Linked DNA regions of Lepisosteus oculatus. The protein of the gene in region 2 purifies or fractionates together with the protein of the main gene of each other region. This does not show direct contact. Links are inferred from orthologs where the notes say so. Each region holds a gene or a part of one and is shown on either strand. Other genes may lie near its edges.

The links. Proteins that work in one complex are often made in the same cells at the same time.
Region 1: the proteins of rpp14 (region 2) and pop5 purify together in Homo sapiens (co-immunoprecipitation; 3 studies listed by BioGRID and IntAct, with this or other methods). This does not show direct contact. The link is inferred for Lepisosteus oculatus from reciprocal best matches to the Homo sapiens genes RPP14 and POP5.
Region 3: the proteins of rpp14 (region 2) and rpp40 purify together in Homo sapiens (co-immunoprecipitation; 3 studies listed by BioGRID and IntAct, with this or other methods). This does not show direct contact. The link is inferred for Lepisosteus oculatus from reciprocal best matches to the Homo sapiens genes RPP14 and RPP40.

The regions. Positions count from the first base shown.
Region 1 is NC_090717.1:200,787-207,501, forward strand, and holds pop5 (ribonuclease P/MRP protein subunit POP5), read right to left. Parts: upstream 2,462-6,715; 5' UTR 2,396-2,461; coding exon 2,376-2,395; intron 1,934-2,375; coding exon 1,791-1,933; intron 1,699-1,790; coding exon 1,549-1,698; intron 1,470-1,548; coding exon 1,386-1,469; intron 1,229-1,385; coding exon 1,143-1,228; 3' UTR 507-1,142; downstream 1-506. UniProt on the Homo sapiens protein: Component of ribonuclease P, a protein complex that generates mature tRNA molecules by cleaving their 5'-ends. Also a component of the MRP ribonuclease complex, which cleaves pre-rRNA sequences.
Region 2 is NC_090699.1:56,404,936-56,412,262, reverse strand, and holds the start of rpp14 (ribonuclease P protein subunit p14), read left to right. Parts: upstream 1-4,318; 5' UTR 4,319-4,422; exon of another isoform or gene 4,423-4,467; intron 4,468-4,996; 5' UTR 4,997-5,004; coding exon 5,005-5,099; intron 5,100-6,015; coding exon 6,016-6,100; intron 6,101-6,632; coding exon 6,633-6,709; intron 6,710-6,970; coding exon 6,971-7,049; intron 7,050-7,327. UniProt on the Homo sapiens protein: Component of ribonuclease P, a ribonucleoprotein complex that generates mature tRNA molecules by cleaving their 5'-ends.
Region 3 is NC_090701.1:18,538,503-18,546,404, reverse strand, and holds the start of rpp40 (ribonuclease P protein subunit p40), read right to left. Parts: upstream 3,007-7,902; 5' UTR 2,833-3,006; coding exon 2,716-2,832; intron 679-2,715; coding exon 534-678; intron 92-533; coding exon 23-91; intron 1-22. UniProt on the Homo sapiens protein: Component of ribonuclease P, a ribonucleoprotein complex that generates mature tRNA molecules by cleaving their 5'-ends. Also a component of the MRP ribonuclease complex, which cleaves pre-rRNA sequences.

The sequences.
Region 1 (6,715 bases), on a different chromosome or scaffold from region 2:
AACCCATCTCAATAAGTTTCAAAATAACTAAAACATTGCTGCCACTACTTATACAGAACAAAGTGTGAACTGCACTCTCCCCAGGTGTGCACTATGACCTATGCTACCCACCTGACGGTGTTCTTATTGCTTACCTGCAACTCTCCAGGTATGCACTATGAGCCCCACTACCCACCTGACAGTGTTCTCATTGCTTACCTGCAGCTCTCCAGGTATGCACTGTGACCAATTGTTACCTGTTCACCCATCTCAGTCTGCTCATTGCCTACTTTCTCCAGTGCTGCTAAAATTATTCAACACTTAGGAAGCTTGAGACTGCATTTTTGCAATTGTTTTTTGGGGGCGTTGACAAAAAAAAAAGATATTTAAAAACAAAGTATTTTGTGTTGGATTCCTTGTTTTGTGTTTTTGAAGTGGAAAAAATGAGGACTTGTTTAGCGAGCCAAGAGACGTCTGTTGAAGTAATAAAGTTGTGCACAATCAGGAAATGCCTTCTGACTCTGAGATTTAGTGAGGGTACAATTTAATAAGGGGAACTTTCAGGGTTTTTAGAAAGGTAGTGAACTGGTTAGAGCTGTAGTTACTCAACTGGTAGTGAACATACAATCAATGCAGACTGCTGCCTTTTTACAATAAATGTATTTATCTAATGCATGAAGCAACGGGCAGTCTGTTGAGATTCTTCATTAAAAACCAACGGCTCTGGACCCTGCCCTGCAGAAACCTCACCCCTCTACAGAAACATACACACTGACGAACCATTCAGCATAAGCACTACATAGCAGAGTCTTCAACTCCAGCTTCTTTTTTTACAAGCTACCCGACCCCATCAGGCTGGAATCTTTAAAGACCAAGACACATGTGCCAGGAGGGGGTTATGATGCTGTTGAGAGACCCTCCTGCCAAAAAACTGCTGGCCTACAGCTGGACACCACAGCAGTAACTGGACAGTACTGATCCAGGAGCATCTGTGAACAGTAGTTAGAAGGGGGGACTCTTGACCCCCAGCCAGACTGAGGTTCCTCAGCCGGGTGCAGGGAGTCTAGTTCACGAGACATGGTGCCGAGAGTGAGCCGAGCAGGGCCGGGCCAAGGCAGCTCTCGGGGCTCATCCTCCCGCTGTTCTGCCAGCACCTGGTTTAGTCAGCAGACCTCTTCATCCTCCTCCTCTTCCTCAAGCTCCTTCAGCGAGCAGCTCATCACTGCCCTGCGCACCTCCACGCACTCCTCTGCAAAGACAGCACCCCACACGTCTCTGTCTGAACCCCAGCCCCCCCAGACATCATGTCTGCTCAGGGCTTGAGGTACAGTACTGCCCCACTGCCACCCCTCAATACCAGGGACAGGCCCCCCGAAACCCAGCTCGCCCGCGCCCCTCACCCTCACCCTCGCTGCGGCACTGCGGCAGCAGGCGCTGGATCTGGCGCGCGTTGTACCGGATCAGGAACTTCTGGCAGGTCCGGATGGTCCCTGCAGAAAGCGGAGGGACAGGGGTGAGTGCCTCAGCAGCCCGGGGGCGTGTGCAGAGTCTCGGGGTCCCGGCCCTCACCCCCCACGTGCAGGCAGTCGACGGCGCAGGGCAGCCGCTGGCCCCGGCTCTCCAGGCTGCTGACGAAGGGCAGCGCCGACCAGATCAGGCGGTAGTGGCTCTTGCGGCAGCGCAGGAACAGCACCCCTGTCCGGGCGTTCAGGTACTTCACTGCGGGAGACCAGGGGGCAGGAGATTAGCTGCACAGCCCAGAGGAAGGACAGGGCAAGCGGTACAGTACAGCGTCCAGCGGGAGGCGCTACCTGCGAAGGAGAGGCCGCAGACCCCAGCTCCGTAGTCCCCATGAGCTCGGGAGACCGCGTTCCTCAAGGCCGTGAACACGGAGCGATCGTCCAGCAGCTGGAGGGACGGCGGGTCCGACATCCGCACCTCGCACAGCAGGTATCTGCGGCAGAGACAGAGTGACGCGCTGGGGGGAGGCCGGGCTGCGTTCGCGCCGGGTCCGATTCTCCTCGACAGGCCCGACCCGGCCGAGGGAATCGCAGCATTACAGCGGAAGACCGAGCGCATCTACATGTTTAAACATCTGAAAATGCACTAGCGCGTCCAGGAGCGGGGCTCCTACTGGGATCAGGAGACATGGGGTCCTGCAGGATATTGAAGAAATCGACAATAATGGGACAGCAGTTTTCAGAAATTATTATAGAAACTCAGCTATATATAATATAAATTCAGTTATACTTCTTCTCATACATTATTTGATATTTTTGCCAATACTGAAAACACGACAACTTGTCACACTCTCAGATGACAGAAAACCTTTAACGGCTTTGGGATAATGAGCTTCAACTCTTATTTAACAACAACAACTCAATTCCTCGCCTCACCTCGACTTGAATCGCACCATCCTGCAGCCCACACGCGCGTTTCTGTTTCAGTGTAGCCTGACTTCCTGCTCTGAACTGAGCCAATCATATCGGAGTATTATGGAAAGGGCGGGCACAGTGAATGAAGATTGACAACAAAATAAGCCAATAAAGTCGCAGTCCTAGCCGTGTACACGCGTGTGTGTATGACGTGCAGAACTCCGTGTAATTGATGGATGAGCTGGCCTATAGACTTTCAACTTCCCTTCCTGACTGAAGGGGGCGTGAACTATGACGTATGCAGAGAGAATGTGTGTAATTATATGTATTTATATGTAATTATATGTGTGTCCGCTAGAGGGTGTGTTGTGCTTGTGTGCACCGTCTTCATTACTATCTAATTTCATGTACAACATATATACAGATATACATGACACCGGAACGGCTGAAACGTTGTGTTTTCTTTTTTCTCTTCTCAGCATTATTTGATATTATTTGTTCCTATATATACATAACGTTAGAAAACGTTATTTCGTGCGCACGAATTGTAAATCGTTCACTCGATTTAACTTTTTTTTCTTACTGATGGCCCCTCCCGGGCTCCGTACATATACGCATATTGCATTATAAAGGAACAAGTACAGACTTATTCCACACTGAAAAGAAACACAACGTTTCGGCTGTGGAGGCTTCGGGTTTCTTTTCTTCTCTTTTCTTCAGGAATAAACCTCGTTCCTTTGCAGCCTACGCGTGCTGACGCAGGTCCCTACTTCACATACTGTATAAAACTTGTTATAAAAATGAACCTTACTATGTTCAACACAAATCTAGAGCATTTATTTAACAAACTAACAAACAGGACGACTCTCTCGAAGCTGGTGTAGAATTCCCACCACTTTGTCTAATTAAATCGGCTGTTCTCGGAGTAAAGTGAATTCCCAGTAGAATTCGCGAAAAGGAACGCTAGTCTGACGCTGCTCATATTTTACCAATACATATGGCAGAGGAAAGGCAGGAGAGGTGTGACGTTTAAAACTGAAGCTCCGACGCTGGGTGCGAGCTGTGCGCCTCTGATTCACTCCCTCGGCGGGGCGCAGAGGAACAGCCGCGGACTCCAGAAAATATCACACAGCAGCCACATCACCCTGCAACTCCCAGCTGGCAGCCCACTGAAGCCCAGCAGTGTGAGCCTGGTCAGTACCTGGATGGGAGACTCCTGGGAAAAACTAAGGTTGCCACTGGAAGCGATGTTAGTAGGGCCAGCAGGGGGCGCTCACCCTGCAGTCTGTGTGGGTCCTAATGCCCCAGTATAGTGACGGGGACACTCTACTGTAAACAGGCGCCATCCTTTGGATGAGACGTAAAACCGAGATCCTGACTCTCTGTGGTCATTAAAAATCCCAGGGCGTTTCTCCCGTAACCCCGTGTCCTGGACAAATTTCCCATTGGCCCTTACCAATCATGGTCCCTAATAATCCCCATCTCTGAACTGGCTTCATTACTCTGCTCTCCTCCCCACTGAGAGCTGGTGTGTGGGGAGTGTACTGGCGCACTATGGCTGCCGTCGCATCATCCAGGTGGGGCTGCACATTGGACGTGGAGGGGATCCCTATTGGTGGAGGAGATCCCCATTACCTGTAAAGCGCTTTGAGTGGAGTGTCCAGAAAAGCGCTATATTAGTGTAAGCAATTATTATTATTATTATTATTATTATTATTATTATTATTATTATAAAATAACGTCCTGTCATTTCACATTCCGGTTATTCACGTCTGCCGCGGTTCACTGGTGCTTAAAGAGCTTGCGGGGATTTTGACGGTTTCATGCGCCAGGTGGCGCTAGTACCCCACTTCTCCGTTCACACGTCCCGGTATCGTCTGTCTCTGTCATTCCACCCCTCTGCACCGGGCAGATCGCGGATATTGTGACACTGGAAACCGACAAGAGCTCCTGGGCTCACTGTGGAGGCTGTGTCACCCGTGGGTGTTAGTACAGTACACTCGCGATTATCCTACCTAACCGGGGCCGATAGTATCGGATAATTGGAAATTTCGGATAATGCGGAAACTGAGTAGACAAATCATAGATTAATGGAAGCGCAGTATATGAATGAAATCTGGTTTATTAATCTACTGTAATACTAAAATAACAGAGTACAGAACTATTGTTAGTTATTATTTAAAAAAATGAGTGATTGGAATCTGTTTCCCAGATGTGCTTCTCTTCCTTGCGGCGAAGTCTTAGTAACATGCCATCAGTAGCAGTGGCCTCGTCTTGCTGTTCAGCGTGAGCTGGTGCCGCTTCCAAAGACAACAGGAAAAACAATCACGAGCGCGAAGTTAGCAAATGAAACTACGTCAATGGCAGCACGTGACAGAGCAGCATCGGATTGGGCAAAATCTTATGCAGGCGCACGCATAGTGCACAGTAAATACTGTACACTGGTGATTGGCTATGTCGGATTAAACGGCATGTCGGATAATCGCGACTCTACTGTATTTATACAGACGGATTCTGCAGTAAATGGTTGCTGTGTGTAACTGAGTCTCTCGGGGAACAGGGAGTGTGACACAGGAGTCTCCATGACTGGAATTAGCTGAGACAATGTCGCTGTTTAATCCCACTCTGCAATTTACGCTAATGCCTTAATTATAATGACATCCTTACGAGAGGCTAATTGCCTCTGTGCAGGATGACACCAGTGTCATTAACTCTAATGAGGGCTTGCGTCACACTGAGACGCCGTCATGAGCTCAGCGCAGTGCAGCTCAAACACTCTTATCTGTCTGGCTACCAGTTTGTCCCCCAGTCTGTCCCAGTCAGCTCCCAGTCTGTCCCCCAATCTTTCCCCTGTCAGTTCCCAGTCTGTCCCCCAGTCTCCAAACACACACAGACACACACTGACACTCACACAGACTCACTCACACACAGACTCGCAGACACACTAATTTCTTCAGCAGGTTCAGATTGATACCAGAGACGCTTCACCTCCGTGAGTGTCTGCTGAGAGACAGTCAGAGAGGATACAGAGTGATAACATATCCAGGCACACAGGCAATATAGCACTGTGACGGTCAGTCCCCACTGCTCCTGCAGAACCTGGGAGTACAGCACAACACACAGCCATACAGGCCATCCAGCACAACGACCCCTGCACAGTAGAAGACAGTGTACAATAGAATACTGTTTAATGCATGTGATAGAAAGCAATTCAGAGACAGAACTCAGTAACACATAATGCAATGAAGTGTAGTGGACCGCAGACCCACAGAGCCCGACAGCAGGGTCATTACTGTGCTGATACTGAGAGGGCTGGGGCTCGGGTCAGGTGATGAGGTGGACAGAGCTCATGCTAACTGTTCTTCCTCACTCTCACTCACACCTCTGTCAGATAATAGCCCCACTGTTTGGTCAGGATTAAACTTTAATTTGTCACCTGAATAATTGAATGAGTGTCGGCTGCCCGCTTACAAGGCCCTGACAGGTCGCCTATGAATTCTTTATCGGCGACACTTAAGAGCCATCGTGTCTTAATGTAGGGGGAAGGTTGGGGTCAGGGAGAGGAGACACAGTGTCTGGGGTGTCAGTCAGAGGAGACTCAGTGTCTGGGGAGACAGGTAGAGGACACTCAGTGTCTGGGGAGTTGGGGAGAGGAGACACAGTGTCTGGGAGGTCAGGGAGAGGAGACACGGTGTCTGGAGAGTTAGGGAGAGGAGACACAGTGTAAGGGAGAGGAGACAGAGTCAGGAGAGATAGGTAGAGGAGAATCAGTGTCTGGGGAGTTGGGGAGAGGAGACTCCGTGTCTGGGGAGTAGGGTAGAGGAAGCTCAGTGTCTGGGGAGTGGGGAGAGGAGAAACAGTGTTTGGGGGGTCAGGGACAGGAGACAGTGTCTGGGAGGTCAGAGACTGGAAACATTGTAATAGAGGTTGAGAATCCCTTATCTGAAATTCCTGGGATCGAAAGTGTTGCAGATTTAGGATTTTTTCTGATTATTTGCATCTATAAAATGGGACAGCTTGGCAATGGGACCCAAGTCTAAACACGATATCCATTTACATTTCATAATATAGCTTATGCATATAACCTGAATGTAGTTTTATATAATTTTTTAAACATAATACCATCAGAAAGGTAAGATATCAGTCTCTGCCTATGATGTCATATTTTGATTAAAAGGTTACAGTACACATACGCCATTTGTATTTTATTTTTTACTATACAGGTATTAAGTTTTATGTAAGGTGTAAAAACTAAGCATTGAATATGATAACAGGTAAATAAAATGAAAACTGAAAAAGTCAGCATTTTATTTTTAAAGTAATGTACAAGTAATGACGCTAGTCAAGCTACACTCATACAT
Region 2 (7,327 bases):
TCCTCTCTGTTCATTTGAGGGTTTTGACTTCACACCTCTTCACCTCTCTCGACTTCGCACCACCTGAGTGCCCACTCTGCTGCTCTCCTCCCTCCTCCTCTCCATTCCCGGCTTTTGTTCTCCCATGCTTTATTACCTGCTGACTTTCCTGCCTTTCTCACACCCGAAGGCTCCACAGTTGAAGCATTGTGTTTCTTTTCTTCTGTTTTCAGCATGGAATAAACCTTTACTTGTTCCTTTGCAATCTGCGCATGCTGACGCAGCTACCTACTTGAACTATTTTAAAGTCTTTGTTTCTTGTAATAGTTGATAGCATTAACAGCTTGTTTATTAGCCTGGTATGAACTAACAACTACTAATGTTTAGTTGGTAACAAATGTCTGACCGTTCTCATATATAAATTATTTATTACTGCATACTAGAGTTTTAATAGATTGTTATGCATTTATAAAGTGTTGTTTGTAGCCCTTGAGCTGAAGTGTTGAATCTCTGTGTTTTCTTTCATTTAAGATAAGGCAGCAAACTGGGGGAAACTATTTAATGATGTACATTTTTAAATGTATTCAGTACTATAGTGTAACAGAAGTGTTCTTGATTTAAGGACAGTGGAGGTCTGGGAGGTGGTTGACATACTGTAACTGCAAGAAAATTGCTTTAGCGTAATTAAGTGAATTTGTCTCTTCCACTGCTAAAAATCCAAAATTTGCAACATATTTCTCAGCGTGTACTAACAGAAAATGCATGCCTGCTCATTTCCTGTGAAACGTCTATGTCTCTGCTCATCTCAGGCCAGGTACAGAGGTCATACCTAACAGTTGGAGAGTCTCAGTCTGACAGACTGCCTAACCAGGTCTGGCTTTAATTTCAGAGCACAGACAGATATCCATGTTAATTTTCATGTGTTAAATAAAAATACATTCAAAAGAACTACAGATTTAGGAGTTCAAATATGAATACTATGAAATGAAGATGGTTAAGTGTAATACATATTTTACCCATGTGTATAAGCTTAACTATACTGTATATAGCTAAACTTTTAGAGCATTCTATTTTACCTCTGTTTAAATAATGCTGCATCCAGGACCACAGGTAAATGAAATCACTATTCCTCTGAATGCAATACAGACTGTGAAGCACAATTAAGCAAAAACCTGACCCTCAACATTCAAATACAGAATATATTTTTAATTAGTTCACTCAGTATATTCTCTAAGCAGGGACTAACAGTATCGTTTTTTGTAGTCCAGAGCACTGCTTTTAATCCTCCTGCAGCCATGACATAAAACCCTATATGAGCTACAAAGTGTTTTATTGTGCTCTGAATTCTCTGCACAAAGCTGTATGGTTGTGAAAAAATGCACAATTGGTAGGACCAAGTCAAAACCAAGTAAGGATATCATAATGCAAATCAAACAGTTTTGCACCTTCATCTGTTTCTTTTGTTTACTGTACCACTGTCTATTCTGTCATCTTTTCTAAAACACCAGTCACTGGAGCCCAGAAAAGCTTAATAAGCCTTCCTGTCTGAAAAGGATGTATTGCATTTGTTCAGTGCATCTGGGCTCTTCCTGCAGAGAACATCTTGGCAGAACAGTGTTTTCCCCCAGCCCTCTGCCCCCTTTCTGAGATCTTTGACATTTGTCTGTACCAAGGGATGGCCAACCCGGGTCCTTGAGAATCACAGTCCAGCAGGTCTGATGGGTCACTCATTGCCCCCCCAATTCCTAAACACCTGGAGTATCTCAAACACTGGAGAGGGTGAGCTATTCAATTCGGTTTTTGAGCGGTCATTTGGACCACAGCTTTCTTATCCTGATTTCACTGAACCAGTTAACCCCCTAAATAGATCAGAATGCACGTGTTCAGTCTTCAGAAATGTGAGGGTGACCCAAAAGACCTGCTAGATTCCAGCTCTCCATTAACCAGGGTTGGTTTACAACTATTGGCCTACACTCTGTGCTGCACTGAAGCAAACTGGAACAATCCTGCAGATACCTGCTGATGTTCGGATTGTTGACTTGATGTTTTGGACAGGATGTCTTTTGGTTTTTGTTCCAACCTGAGTAGTCAGCCAATTCCCCTAAGTCTTTTCTTAATTAGATAATTAACAAATATTGGGTTAAGAAAATAGAGAATAACAAACAATACTGGGTGGGATAATCAAGAATAATAGACTAATTGTAAAGATTATACCAAGAATATACACAACAGGTTGGTATAGTAAGAGGCATTTGAGATCTTTGTTCTCTGACACAGCTCAGTCAACTCAGGCACAAATTGGAATAAACTAATATTTATTAAAAAATAACAACATAAACTAAATGCACAACATAAAACATTCAAATTACTCTATTTATAAACAAGACATTTCATGTCTTGGAAAAAAAAACCCAGATTACTTTCACAAAGTATGCACCAATCCTAAATAATGCCCTCACAGGTCAACTGTGAAGAACTAAGCCTGCCTTCTTAATTAAAGATTTAAAGACCTACAGTTAAATCTCTCCCTCTATAAATCCAGATGCTACAAAGTGAATGGGATGCATCTCCCTAAATGCATCCTTTGACCAGGTGAGATTGTTTTTAATCTAGGGATTTTATATACAAGAAATAAAAGTTCCCTGAGAATAACAGAATGGCAAACTCTCTTAACAAGGTTCAAATATTTATCTAGAATCTTGTCTTCATTGGTTGATCCAAACCAGAACCTGTAGCCTGGCACTCCTTTTTCTCTCTCCTTGTGTTTTGCAGTCTGCCTCATCTCCTCCCTGTTCTCTTTTTACCCTCTCTCTGTCTTTGTTCCCAGACTGTTGATGACTCTTAATTATTTGCCAAGAATTTAATGAACCAAGGTAAACCAGACCCATTACAAGTCAGAGAACACCTCAGGTGTCGATCCTTGTCTTTAATTCTTATGACTCCTCAATAGCCACTTCCTATAGCTTTGACAATATATAGGATTTTTCAAAAGGTCTTTTAGTTGACTAGGCAAGAGCCAGACGTTCACTTCATTAAAGGTTCTGTTGCGTAGAAATCACCTAGAAACATGTTAGAAATGTTACATTGAATAATTAATTAAATAAATAAATGTAACAGAGAACATGATCAGAACAAAAATCAGAAGGCACTGGGCCTTGCAGGAATGGAGTTTGAGATACTATATAGTGTACCTTGAAAATTAACTTAGTCCTCAAGATTTTTTTTCTTTAGGTATTATAATTGTATATAAGTCTCAAGCAAGTATTGAAAATTATCCATAGTAGGTATTTATTGTACTGCACACAATTACCATATTGTGTTTATTGGTATATTTTATGGAGTTTTCATTGTGCTAAAATATAGAAACAATTCTCATTTTTAATATTTTATTGTAATTACTGTAGAAATGTGTATGTAAATAGTATTATGATTAGTAATAAGCTCCTCATGACGAGAATAGAAACTGTTGTTCAAGATGTGACATGCTTAATTTCGTTGTGCATCCATTTTCTAACCACTTCTTCCAATTTAGGGTCAATGGGCACAAGGCAGGGATGAGACACCAGTCCATCACAAGGCAGTACAAATGCAGACACACCAGGGCTAATTATCCCAGAAGCCAATTCACCTACCACCAGTATGTCTGTAGACTGGGGGAAGAAACTGGAGAACTTAGATGAAACCCACATGGGAAATCACACAAACTCCACATAGATACAGTAGCTCCCCAGGAATTGAACCCAGGGCCAGAGCACTGCAAGACAGTTAAGCTAACCACTGCGCCACCCACTTTCATTTTAATATCAGTTAACTGGTGGATACAATGAATTGCCTCCACTTTTAGTAGTGTAACTAAAATGTTTTCTGAAAGACAGTATTTTTGTATGTTGTAGAAACTTTAGTTTAAATATTAAGAATAAATATTAAGGTGGAGTAAAGCCGTGTACGAAATTTGGGAGCAGAATTATTATGTTATTATGTAGGTGGATGCTGCACATTGGTGGTGGTGGAGGGGAGTTCCCATTACCTGTAAAGCGCTTTGAGTGGAGTGTCCAGAAAAGCGCTATATAAGTGTAAGCAATTATTATTATTATTATTATTATTATTATTATTATTATTATTATTATTATTATTATTATGATGATGTCTAAATGACCAATCCTTCACAAGTGACCAAACAATTTAGCCGAAATAACGAATCGTAATGCTTTTCCGTGTATTAAATTCCGTGATGTAGAAAGTAAAGATAATTTTATTTATTTACTACTGGAGACGTGGACTGAGATTTGATTTATATTAGGACGTCATATGGACCTTTTGAGGACATTAGGTACAGAACTGTATACGAGCACAGAGCTAGGTCGGACTGCAAAGGCTGTAGAACAGGAAGTACGACTTGAAACGTGGTTACAGTGCGGAGTTTAATCTGAGTTAAGGTGTCAGGTAATGTGAAGAATTTTTAATCAAACCAACACCAGTCTCTGACATGTTGAGTACTACAAATCTGTTTACTTTGCTCTGTATCATTAGGAGCCTTTTTCTTAGCTTCTGCCTTGCAACACTGAATCAAAAGCAAATGCTGTCTTAAGTAATAATGTCTTCTCACAGAAAATCTCGCAGATATTATTATTATTATTATTAATAGAATGATATATTTGCGAAATACTGACAGCATTTCTTTTAGTCTTTTTTCCTATAACATTCGCGAAATCGTGAATTAAGGGTGCAAAAATAAAGCAGCTTTTAGAAACTACTTTCTCGCTACAGAATATAACGGGGTTGACTAAATTAACATTGTTAGGAAACAACTGTGTGAGTTGATCATACCACACATTGTTGCTGTATTGTAATTTTATTTTTTGTTATTGCATGGTTACAAAGTTTCTCACTTAAACCCAAAGCAATACGTTATGTTGCTCCTCTAAAGTTAACAAACACAGTGGAATTGCAGGGCCGTGCAATCTGTGCAGAACATTATTTTCTGCTGTGTGATTACGGGATTTTTCTCTTTGTTAAGGAAATAGCATGAGACGCTCTGGGAAACAGGAGGAGGAACCTGCAAGTTATGAAAGGCTTGTTTTGAAGAATGCATCAGTGTACCATTATCTGAGGATCTCCCTGTGAGTGTGCCGGCATGTTTTGTTTTCACGAGCATTTCTTGGTGTCTCCTACAAATTGTTTGATCACGCATGAACGCTCACCTGGCACCTCATTAAATGTACTGCAGTTAATCTGATAATAGCAACGAGTGTTGTTTCCAGGCTGTTTCAATGTCTTTAATATATTTTTTTAATTGTATCGTAATTTACACCATAGCTAGGTTTTACACTAAAATGTTCACAGACGTGTTCTGGAAATCATTGTTCAACTCTGACCAGTATTGCTCAACTGATGTACGGTGTTGTTGTTTGATTTTAAAACTGAAGATTATTTTTCTAACATCCTACACATCAATATGAATGTGTTCAAATTTATTATAAAGATGTATAGAAATATCTAGGGAGATTTGGTGGATCAGTGATTAGTATTGGTGTCTTGCATCACTGGGGCCATGAGTTTAATTCCAGACCTGGGGTGCTATCTGCATAGAGTTTGTATGTCCTCCCTGAGTTTGTGTGGGTTTTGGCTGGGTGCTTTGGTTTCTTCCCAAAGTCCATAGGAGGATTAATGGGTAGGTTATTTGACTTCTAGGAATGTTGGCCTTGGTCTGAGTGTAGGCGTTTGTCTCTGCCTTGCAATGGACTGGCGTCTGGCCCAGGCTGTATCCTGCCTCACTTTCGTTGCTTGCTGGGATAGGCTCCAGCTGCCCCATGACCCTGAATTGGATCAAGTGGTTAGAAAACAAATTGCTATAAATACATTTTTTTTAAATCATCCCTCTTTTTTTTAAATCAAGCTCTCATGAGAATTCGGCTGTGATTTTGCAGGTGTGAGAAATGCATTGCCAAATATCTAAGCGACTTTTCTCTAGATGCAGACAGGGCAGAATTTTGTTTCCTTCTCTGTTGGTGGAAAACTCTGGCCTTGTTTTTACAGAGTATTCCAAGACAGTGACAAAAGACTCAGTGAGGCCCAGTTCAAGCAGCTGATCATTTCAGCCCTCAGAGACCTGTATGGAGAGGTATGTAAATGCAAATATAAGTTTGATGTACCAGATATACAGAGCTAGACTCCATCTTGATATACAGACCCAGTTTGGAAATATTTAAATGGACTTTTACCCAAATTGACAAATTTATTTTGTTAATAATTTGTTAACTCTGTTGACAAATGGATCTACAGAATAATACAGTACAGTTCATACAGCTTTTAGGCCATATTTTAGAAGAAACGCGTATCCTCTGTTCTATAAGAAATAATAGATGAATATAGTGTCTTTGCTACTATCAATCCTTGTGTGTTTTGTATTTGATTTTCAAGCAGCATTTTGCATGGGAACATGACCATAAATACCAGAAAGTAGGTGCTTCAGAAAGGAAAGGGGAGTGCAAATATCTGTTGCACAGTTATGTTTATCAGCGTTTCATTAAGGGAAGTGTATTGTGAAATAAAGAGAAAGGTGTTAGCTTTGCTTGATATGTTTAACGTGTGTTGCAGTTTTGTTTTAATGGGCAACTCCAGAAATAGACACAAATAACACAGATGTTTTGTAGATTGGAGCCGCCTTTCCTTTCGATGTTCTAAAATTTGAGGAGAACACGCTGAAAGCGATAATACGAGTGTTGAGCAGGTAAAGTAATATTGCTTGTCTGTAAAAATGAAAAATGTGGAAGCAAGCATAGTAAAAATAGTCAACGAGTCAAATGTCCTATAGTTCAAAACAATTAGAAGTGTATTCAAGATTTTTATATTATTGTTTGGTTATACAATTTATTTATATGTATGATTTATGATTTATTTTTTTTAAATGTATTTTAAAATGTACAGGATCGACAATGGTGTTTGTCCACAGCCCTTCCTCTGAGTCACTATGCAAATATTTTTCTTCCAGTGGCCTTGTGAAACTGTGGAGTGCTCTGACATTACTAGGATCCTATCAAAATGAACCATGTGCCTTTAGGATTATTCAGGTGAGTTAATTAGTTGAAATAGCCAATTTGTTTTTGAATGTACAATATTCCCCATCTTTTAAAGTTACACCATGTAAATGCTCAGTGTTTTGCAAAGTTCTTTATATTTTGTGGACTATTTTATATTTTGTGGGAAAAAAACAAAGGGAATGAGTATTTTGTCTGCTTTCCAGTAATCATATTTGAATTATTTTAACTTTATTTTCTTACAAAGTGTGAGCACACTCTATTGACAGATTTATCTACATAATAATAGCCTCAGTTCATACAGCTTATTT
Region 3 (7,902 bases), on a different chromosome or scaffold from region 2:
AAATCGTCTTGATCTATCTTACCCGTTGGAAGAAGTGCAAAAGTGTTGTCTTGGTCTATTCTGGTTTTGTATGACAGAGCACAGAGGGATCCTGCAATTATACAAAAACTTTCAAATCAGATGCAAGAGTCAGAACTACAGACATCAGGCACACTGAAAAGGGCACTCACACACACAGAGGACTGCATAAGTTTCCCACAGATTCCAAGCACTGTGCATAAAGTGCCTTCATCTAACAGTATAACACACAAGGCCAAGCAACCAGATAATGTCTGACAATAATCATTGTCATAGTATTCCATTTTGCATTTGGTGTGAATATAGTATCCATATTGATGCTACTCATTTTAATGCACAGAACACTGCGCCTTAGGAATGGGAAGACATTCACATGAACGAGCAGACAGATTTTTTCTTTAGGGAATCAGAAGTGGTGTGTCTTCAATCTCTTTCTCAGAATCAATCATGGGAATAAACGACTGAACCCGACCACTAATAAATTCAAACTCCAGTGAAAATTAAAACAGGTCTACCTGCTTTCACCTGCTTTTCAAGAAACTTCTCTTCCAGTATTTTATAGATGGGGAAGTTCTTCACCAAATAATATTTTGCAATGCTATTCACAATGCTTTTTAGCCCCAATGGTAGTGTTCCACACTCAGGAATTAAAACAGAAACCTGTTAAAAAGAACAATCAAAAGGGATAATTTAGGATATACAATTCCTATTTGTCAGATTTTTAGCAAAAGGCATAAATGCATATGAATGAGGCACTGCATCAACTTGCATTTGCTATAAAAAAAAGAAGGAAGAAGAGGGTTAATCCACACTGAAAGCAGAAACATTCTGGCCCTTGAGCCTTCTTCACACCTGGATATTTTTCAGCATGGGGAAAGTAACATTTACTTGTACCAAAATACATATGTACACACTTGTTTCTGCCAGAAAACAACTTCCCCTGACCAAACATTTCTACAGTCCACACTGATAAAAAAACAGTTTAATCTTAATCTTAATTTCTGCTTTATTTCTGTTCGTTTTCTGGAGGCAGCTGGTTCTACTGTCCCAACACACTAAAATCACCTTTGATTGGTGTTTGTAAATCCACAAAAGCGATTACTATGTTTTCTAAAGGATGGTTTGAAAAACAGAAATTCAATTCAGATTTCTGATACAATGGAGTACATAAGATGCATAAAATGAAAATGTGCATGTCAAACTAATTTCACACTATAACAAAAGAATTTATAACAACCAACCTGTTTTCTAAGAAACCAATGTATTGCTTTTAAGTGACAAAACTGATGGCACAACTGGAATTCATAAAAACTGAACCTATGAACCTTAACAATATTCAGTTTTTTGTGATGTGTTTTTGTGATGTAGAAAAATGTTGTATGAGAACGTAAGAAACATTACAAATGAGGGAAGCCCATTTTTGCCAATATATTTAATTCGGTTGGTCATAAGTCAATCCAAGGATCTTATCCAGGCATTTCATGGAAGAGCAGATGGCATCAGAAGCTTGTTCCAGACACCCACATCCTTTTGTGTGAAGAAGTGCCTCCTGTTCTCACTTTAACCTGCACTTCTGCTTAGACTCCACGTATGTCTCCGATTCACGTTTCAGTGTTAATTCTGAAGAAGCACATAGGTTAACTTTGCTAGTGCTTCTGATGATACAGTGGTGCAGAGGTTTGCATTGCTGCCTTGCAGTGCTGGGGCCCTGGGTTCAATTCCTGAGGTGATATCTGTGTGGAGTTTATATGTTCTCTCTGCGTTTGTCTGTGTTTCTCCCAGTTGCAGTGGACTGACATCCAGTCCAGAGTGTATCCTGCCTTGCACTTGTTGCTGGCTAGGATAGACTCTAGCTCCCCTGTGTCCCTGAATTGGAAGAAGAAGTTAGAAAACACCAAGATGTACGAATTCAGTAAAATCAAAATTCAAAATAAATTCTGTACTGTAGCAGAATCACCATAGGTCAGTCTTTAGATACAAGTGGATATGATTTGTAAATACATCCGGGCATTTCAGACCTTTACTCTGTCCGTCTTTATAAAAGCCAATATTTTTTCAACATAGGTTACAAACAGCATTTCTGTCTGACGTCACCGTTTCCTGTTTCTGTCACTCGAAGATTAATTTCCTAATGACATCTGTCTCTGAACTAAAATCGTCCTTGCAAATTCTACAGCCCACGACTCTCAGTATTTTTCACTTGAAGCTGCCCCAGTGCAAGATGCATACACTCTTATTATATTTAAATACTGTAAGAAAACAATCTACCAGGAATACATAACGAAATCAGACTTGAAAAGGTGCCCTGGAATCACTTATAAGACTCCAAATTACCGGTAGGATTCTGCTAAATCAAAGACGTAACCACATGAGTGGAAGAATCTATCAGGAACATAGAAGCAAAAAGAAGACAGAGATGATGTGGTATACACGAATTCTGCTTATAGGACTCTGGTGGTTTGGAATTCTGGAAGTTCTGGCTCATTTTCAGTTTCTGTTCATTTCATGCAGCTGTTCCCTGGAGACAACATACTGTAAATCAGATCTTAATCTGTATAGCCTTTTAGCGCAGACTGTCTTATTAGAAGCGACCGAATGCTTTTGCTCTTTTGTAAAGTAAGCATATTAAAATATCACCGTTTATTTTTGCGTCTGCAAAAAACATCACGTTTTCAACACTCAACACTCACCACTCACCTTGTAGTTAAAATAGTGACCGGCCACGTGGACGTCATGACGTGACTTTTCATTCAAGAAATTCGATTTCTCACACACCAGTAAATGCCTTGGACACTTCTCCAGGTCAGTCAGCATTGTTAGTCACAAGCACAAAACAGTGCCTTCATCAAAGCTGATTCAACGCGTTACTTCGTTTATGCAAAAGCAAGGCTCAAGATGAGAAGTATTTCCTCTTCTGTTTTGGTTCTTTGACCACTTCGTACACGCGCCTTTGAGTAGCCAATGGTAGGCTGTAAAATGACGCAGATGACATCACTTCCTGTCGCGTGCTCCCTGCTGCGAATTTGACCTGCCAATCTGCGCCTTACGTCACTAACCTCGCACGCAGTTGCTGATGCTGTGTAGTTTTTCAAGCGCAGGTCCTGCGCAAACACAAACGTCTTCATGGTGTTTTAGCTGTGGATGCAGCAAACTCAGGGATACGAAAACCTTGAGATTCAGTACAGGCTATGTAGTACAGCAAACCGCTTAGGAAGCACAAACTATATATTCTATTAACACATATAACATATTTTCGAATGTCCCTGATACTTTTATCTAAATCATCTTAAATGTATATATTATATAGATTTATACATTTATACAGTTAGACATTTTTGCAATAATAGTAAATTTCTTTGCTCAACTGTAGCAGAAGAGCAGAACCCCGCGTAAGAAGTGAGTCCACAATATTCGAGTTATACTATAAACCGGAGGTTTAACCAGTGCTCCATACAGTCATACAGTACATCATCTTTGTGCGGTAATGTGAGTGACAAACAAGAAACACCTTCGTAAGAAGGAAAGCGAGAAACCATAAAAAATAGTACTTTTGTATTTAAGGAGGGCTTTAAAAAATGCGGCTTTCAAACCTGAGACGTCAATGTTTGCAGGGCCGTATTATCCAAAGACTGCCAAAGACGTACGAAAATTAAACCGTTTATGGAGAAATTTTGAGCATTTTTATGATTATGATAAAACTGTAACAAATATCTCTTCTTCAATAAATATGTTTTCGAACAAAATCCTAAATTTGTATTACCTATCTACCCATTGAATTCAATACACTCTTAAAAACGCCTCCATCTACAGGGCATAGGAAACAGAGGTTGCCCAGGACCCTGGAGGACTTTAATTCAGCTCAGACTGAAAGTGTTGGAACATTCCCACAGAGCTTGTAACATTGGACAATATATACAGTATCTGTGTTTTTTAATGTAAAATAATATAATGTTTTCAAACTACAGGGGTGTATTCAGCCTACTGTATCTACTGAGTGGGTTTGGCTTTTAGTAGCTAGTGGATCTCATCCAGTGATACTTTTCCATTGTCATTGTTTATTGTGTAATCCAGAAAAATGTACATTGTCCTTGTTCTTATACAAGAAATTGTATATGGCCAATAAAGTGAACAGATCTTAAGGTGTGGTGTTAGGGTCCTTGCGACAGAAGAGCAAATTCAGTATGCAGCTCCACACCACATTACTGGTTTCCTGGATGCTCACCAGACCTGAGTAAGAACCAACTGCAAAGATAAAAGAGGACTGTTTATCAAAGCTGTGTGGCTCTGATGATGTTCAGGTGTTGGAAGTGCTTTACATTCTCTAGTTGTAGAAGTGCTCCAGATGAGTTCTGGCACATAAATTAAATACAACTGTTTATTTGCTCTGCCTTGCTCCTGTTGCTTGCCGGGATAGGCTCCAGCTCTCCTGTGATCCTGAATTGGAAGAAGCAGCTAGAAAATGGATGCATGGAATTCCTTTGGATAGACAATATTCCTTTAACAGTTAGAAAATAAAACGGTAAAATGGAGTAATTAGTAAGATTCAGATTTTTATTTTGGGTGAAACAAAAAATCATTTGCACTAAGGTTTCTAAAAAAAACCCAACGGGGCATTGCACAAACAGAGGACAACCACATAATAAAAAAACTAAAATAGCGCTGAAAGAAAAGAATCCAGGCCCTTTCAGATTAAATTTTAAATTTTATTTAGATTCTTTCAATCTTACTTGAATGGAAGTGCTAAAAATAAAATAAAAACAGTGCAGTTTTAATTCGTTTTGATTTAATTCGTTTTCATGCCAGTTGTTACAGGGGTGGCCAGTTTTGCATTTTTCCCATTCCCAAAACCTGTCCATTCCAGCAGATGGCAGCAGTATGCAGAGGAGGGAAAGGCTTAGTAGCCCTGGATCCCTAAAAAGGACTTATGGGGATCCCCAATGGGAAAGTGCATTTCAGAGACCTTTACTGAGCTTGAATGCCAAATCAGGTCAATGGTACCCTGCCACATCAGTCCTGTCCAACCTTCTCTTGTAGAACTTGGGGTGATGTGGTTTAAGCCGCATTATTGTTAGATAGAATAAGAAGCCATCTAAAAGTGGCTTACAAAGGTGGATGACTTTGTTTCTTTGACCGTACATACTTTAGAGGGCCTAGCATGCTCTTTCAAGGACAAATTGCAGTCATCAGGAATGGAAACAGGCATTCCCAAGCCACCATGAACACAGGGTTGAGGCAATCTTGGCAAAAAGGGTAGACTAGTCGGCGCAATGAGGTGCAGGTTCAACACAAAGTCTCCATCCATCAGCCTTTAAGCTCACTCATCCTGCAGGCAGAATTGGTCATTTTACGTACCAAAACAACCAAACAAAGGTCCCTGGTGGGGACTCAATGCTTAACAGGCAGCTGGAGTCTCCATGCTCCCACCAGAATTTAGCAGACAGTGGGGGTATGTCCAACCTCACATGCAGAAGACACTGCAGAAGGAGAGGTAGTGCTGGGAACATACAGTACAAAGGAGATTTCCAACCCAAAGGTGCACCAACAAATCAATGCCCAATGTGTAGTCTCAGGTTCAAAATAATGCAAGGCAAGGGGTTGATTCTTTGGAGGCAAGTAAATCCATGACCAGAGAGTTCCTGCACCTCGGCTACAACACCCAAGTGGAGGTGACATTTACACTCTGTTTACAAACACAGGAGACACGGGATCTACAAGGATAAACATCTGGGGATCATCCTGGTCAGAAAGTGATGAAATTCTGCCTCCTGCTCCTTGACCAGAATATTACCTGTTGTGGTCTATATACTTGACTGGGGTTCCTAATATTTTAGACTACTGACTTTATTGCATTTAAAAGACAACTGCACACTATCTGGAGATTTGCAATTGGACCTACGCTGTGTTCTGATTTTGTTCCATTCTCTTACTAGAAGATCATACACATTTAGTGTGTATTTTTTGTTCATTGCTTTTGGCCGTCATTGTTTCCCAATGTTTTTTATTTGTTTTGAGTGGTTTTTAATTAATCTCTTTGAGTACTTTTTTCACGGGAACCATTTTTTGAAAACTCTGTTACAAGTTTTTGTTTTTGTGACATGTTTTATTTCAGCGGTCTCATTAAATTTTCTGAAGACAGGAGCCACAGCACACTCCTTTGGAAGGAAATGTCAGTTTTATTTACCAGATGCAATTAAGGGGAAAAAACATTTAAATTAACAAATCAGCCTTTATTACAATGTGATAATATTGACTCATCTAATAGATGAAGAGGGGAACAGGGGCTCTATAAAATATTTTTTGTTTACCAGAGATGTAACTCAATTATCTTCCTGAATTTATAATTGCTATTCTACCACTGCTTAATCTAAACAGATGGTAATTTTACTGTACTACTGTAAATCAATTAAATTATACACTATTAAAATATTATACCAAACTGTGCATATCGTGCCCAGAACTTATCAACGTAAATGTTAATTTGAATTTTTAATTTTACTGTCTACCCGTTTGAAACAATGTATTGAATATCTATAGCTTTTCGTTTCTCAGTTTCAGAATAATCTTAAGAAAAGTACCAAATGTACCCATTACAACGGGGGAAAAAAATAAGGATCATAATGTTAATTCCAGCTGGTGAAGGCAGTATAGTTTTGATATGCAACAATGCGACACAACTATATCCGATGTCGTACTCTGTTAGGCTGCTGCAAATTGAAAAGTAGATGGAGACAGATTTCTGTTAAGCAATGCTACTAGGCAAAAGTGTTTCTTGGACTTTAAAATCAAACAGAAAAACGCAGTTAAAAAAGCATGTGTTAAATGTGCTTTTGATGCGGGATCTACAGTATAATATTACATAATACTGCATTATTTAGCGCGGTCAGTCTTTGGACCGGACACTCCAATATAAACGCTTTTTTTCCCGCAGTGCTTTGTTATTCAGGTACACGAGCGAACAAATATGTGCGTAGTTCACTGGTCATCAAAACAGATATTTGTGATAGTACACTTTTTGCCTTCTTTGTGACGTATTTAGTACATTTAGCTTTTAAATGCGCAAAGTCTGTGTTATGTAATTTATGCTGATTTACTTAACTGAGTTCAAACCATTGGGTTTAAAGGACATATTTAAAGATGTGATATGATGAACAAGCTGCTTTTCCTGTGTGACGTTATTTCTACAAATTCTTTCCCATTTTCATTATTTTGTTCTGTTGAGCATTTGTTGTTATTATCCAAGCATAGACTTACTTGCATTACAATACATACATTACTTATAAAATGGTAAATATATATTATTTAGATTGTATATCTCACTGCATAACGCGAACAGTGCTCTAACAACTGTTGAGTGTCTACCGAATGTAAAATAAATAATTCATATCACCAACATAACCTTTTATCTGTATGAATGAGGCAGCATATTGTATAGTTTCCCCCTAGGGGGGAAAGGTTTTAGAGGCAAGTTATACAGACTTAGTCATGGTGCTGTAAGTAGCTTTGACAAAAAGTTTTTATGTATTTTCCAGTTCATCAAGGGTTTTATGCAGTACTACTGCTGAAACACAAACACTGGTGCTTCAAAAGCACTTCAATGTTTCAGCCGTTAACGATTCGACGCTTTTTAGAATTGTGGTCAGGCCTAAGTCATTTATTGTTAAAAGGTAAACTATCCGATATTCTTTCGTTACATTTGGTAACTTCTGAGTTATCTGTTGACTTAAAAAAAACGTTTTCACGCAAAATATGCGTTATATCATGTTATTCTTGTTATAGTTAGCCAATAATTACTTTAAAACAACGAGATACGAGTGAAAGGCTTAAGCGTAACAAAAGCTGCTGAGTGCAAATTAATGACAGGGATGCTAAAACATGTCAATGCGG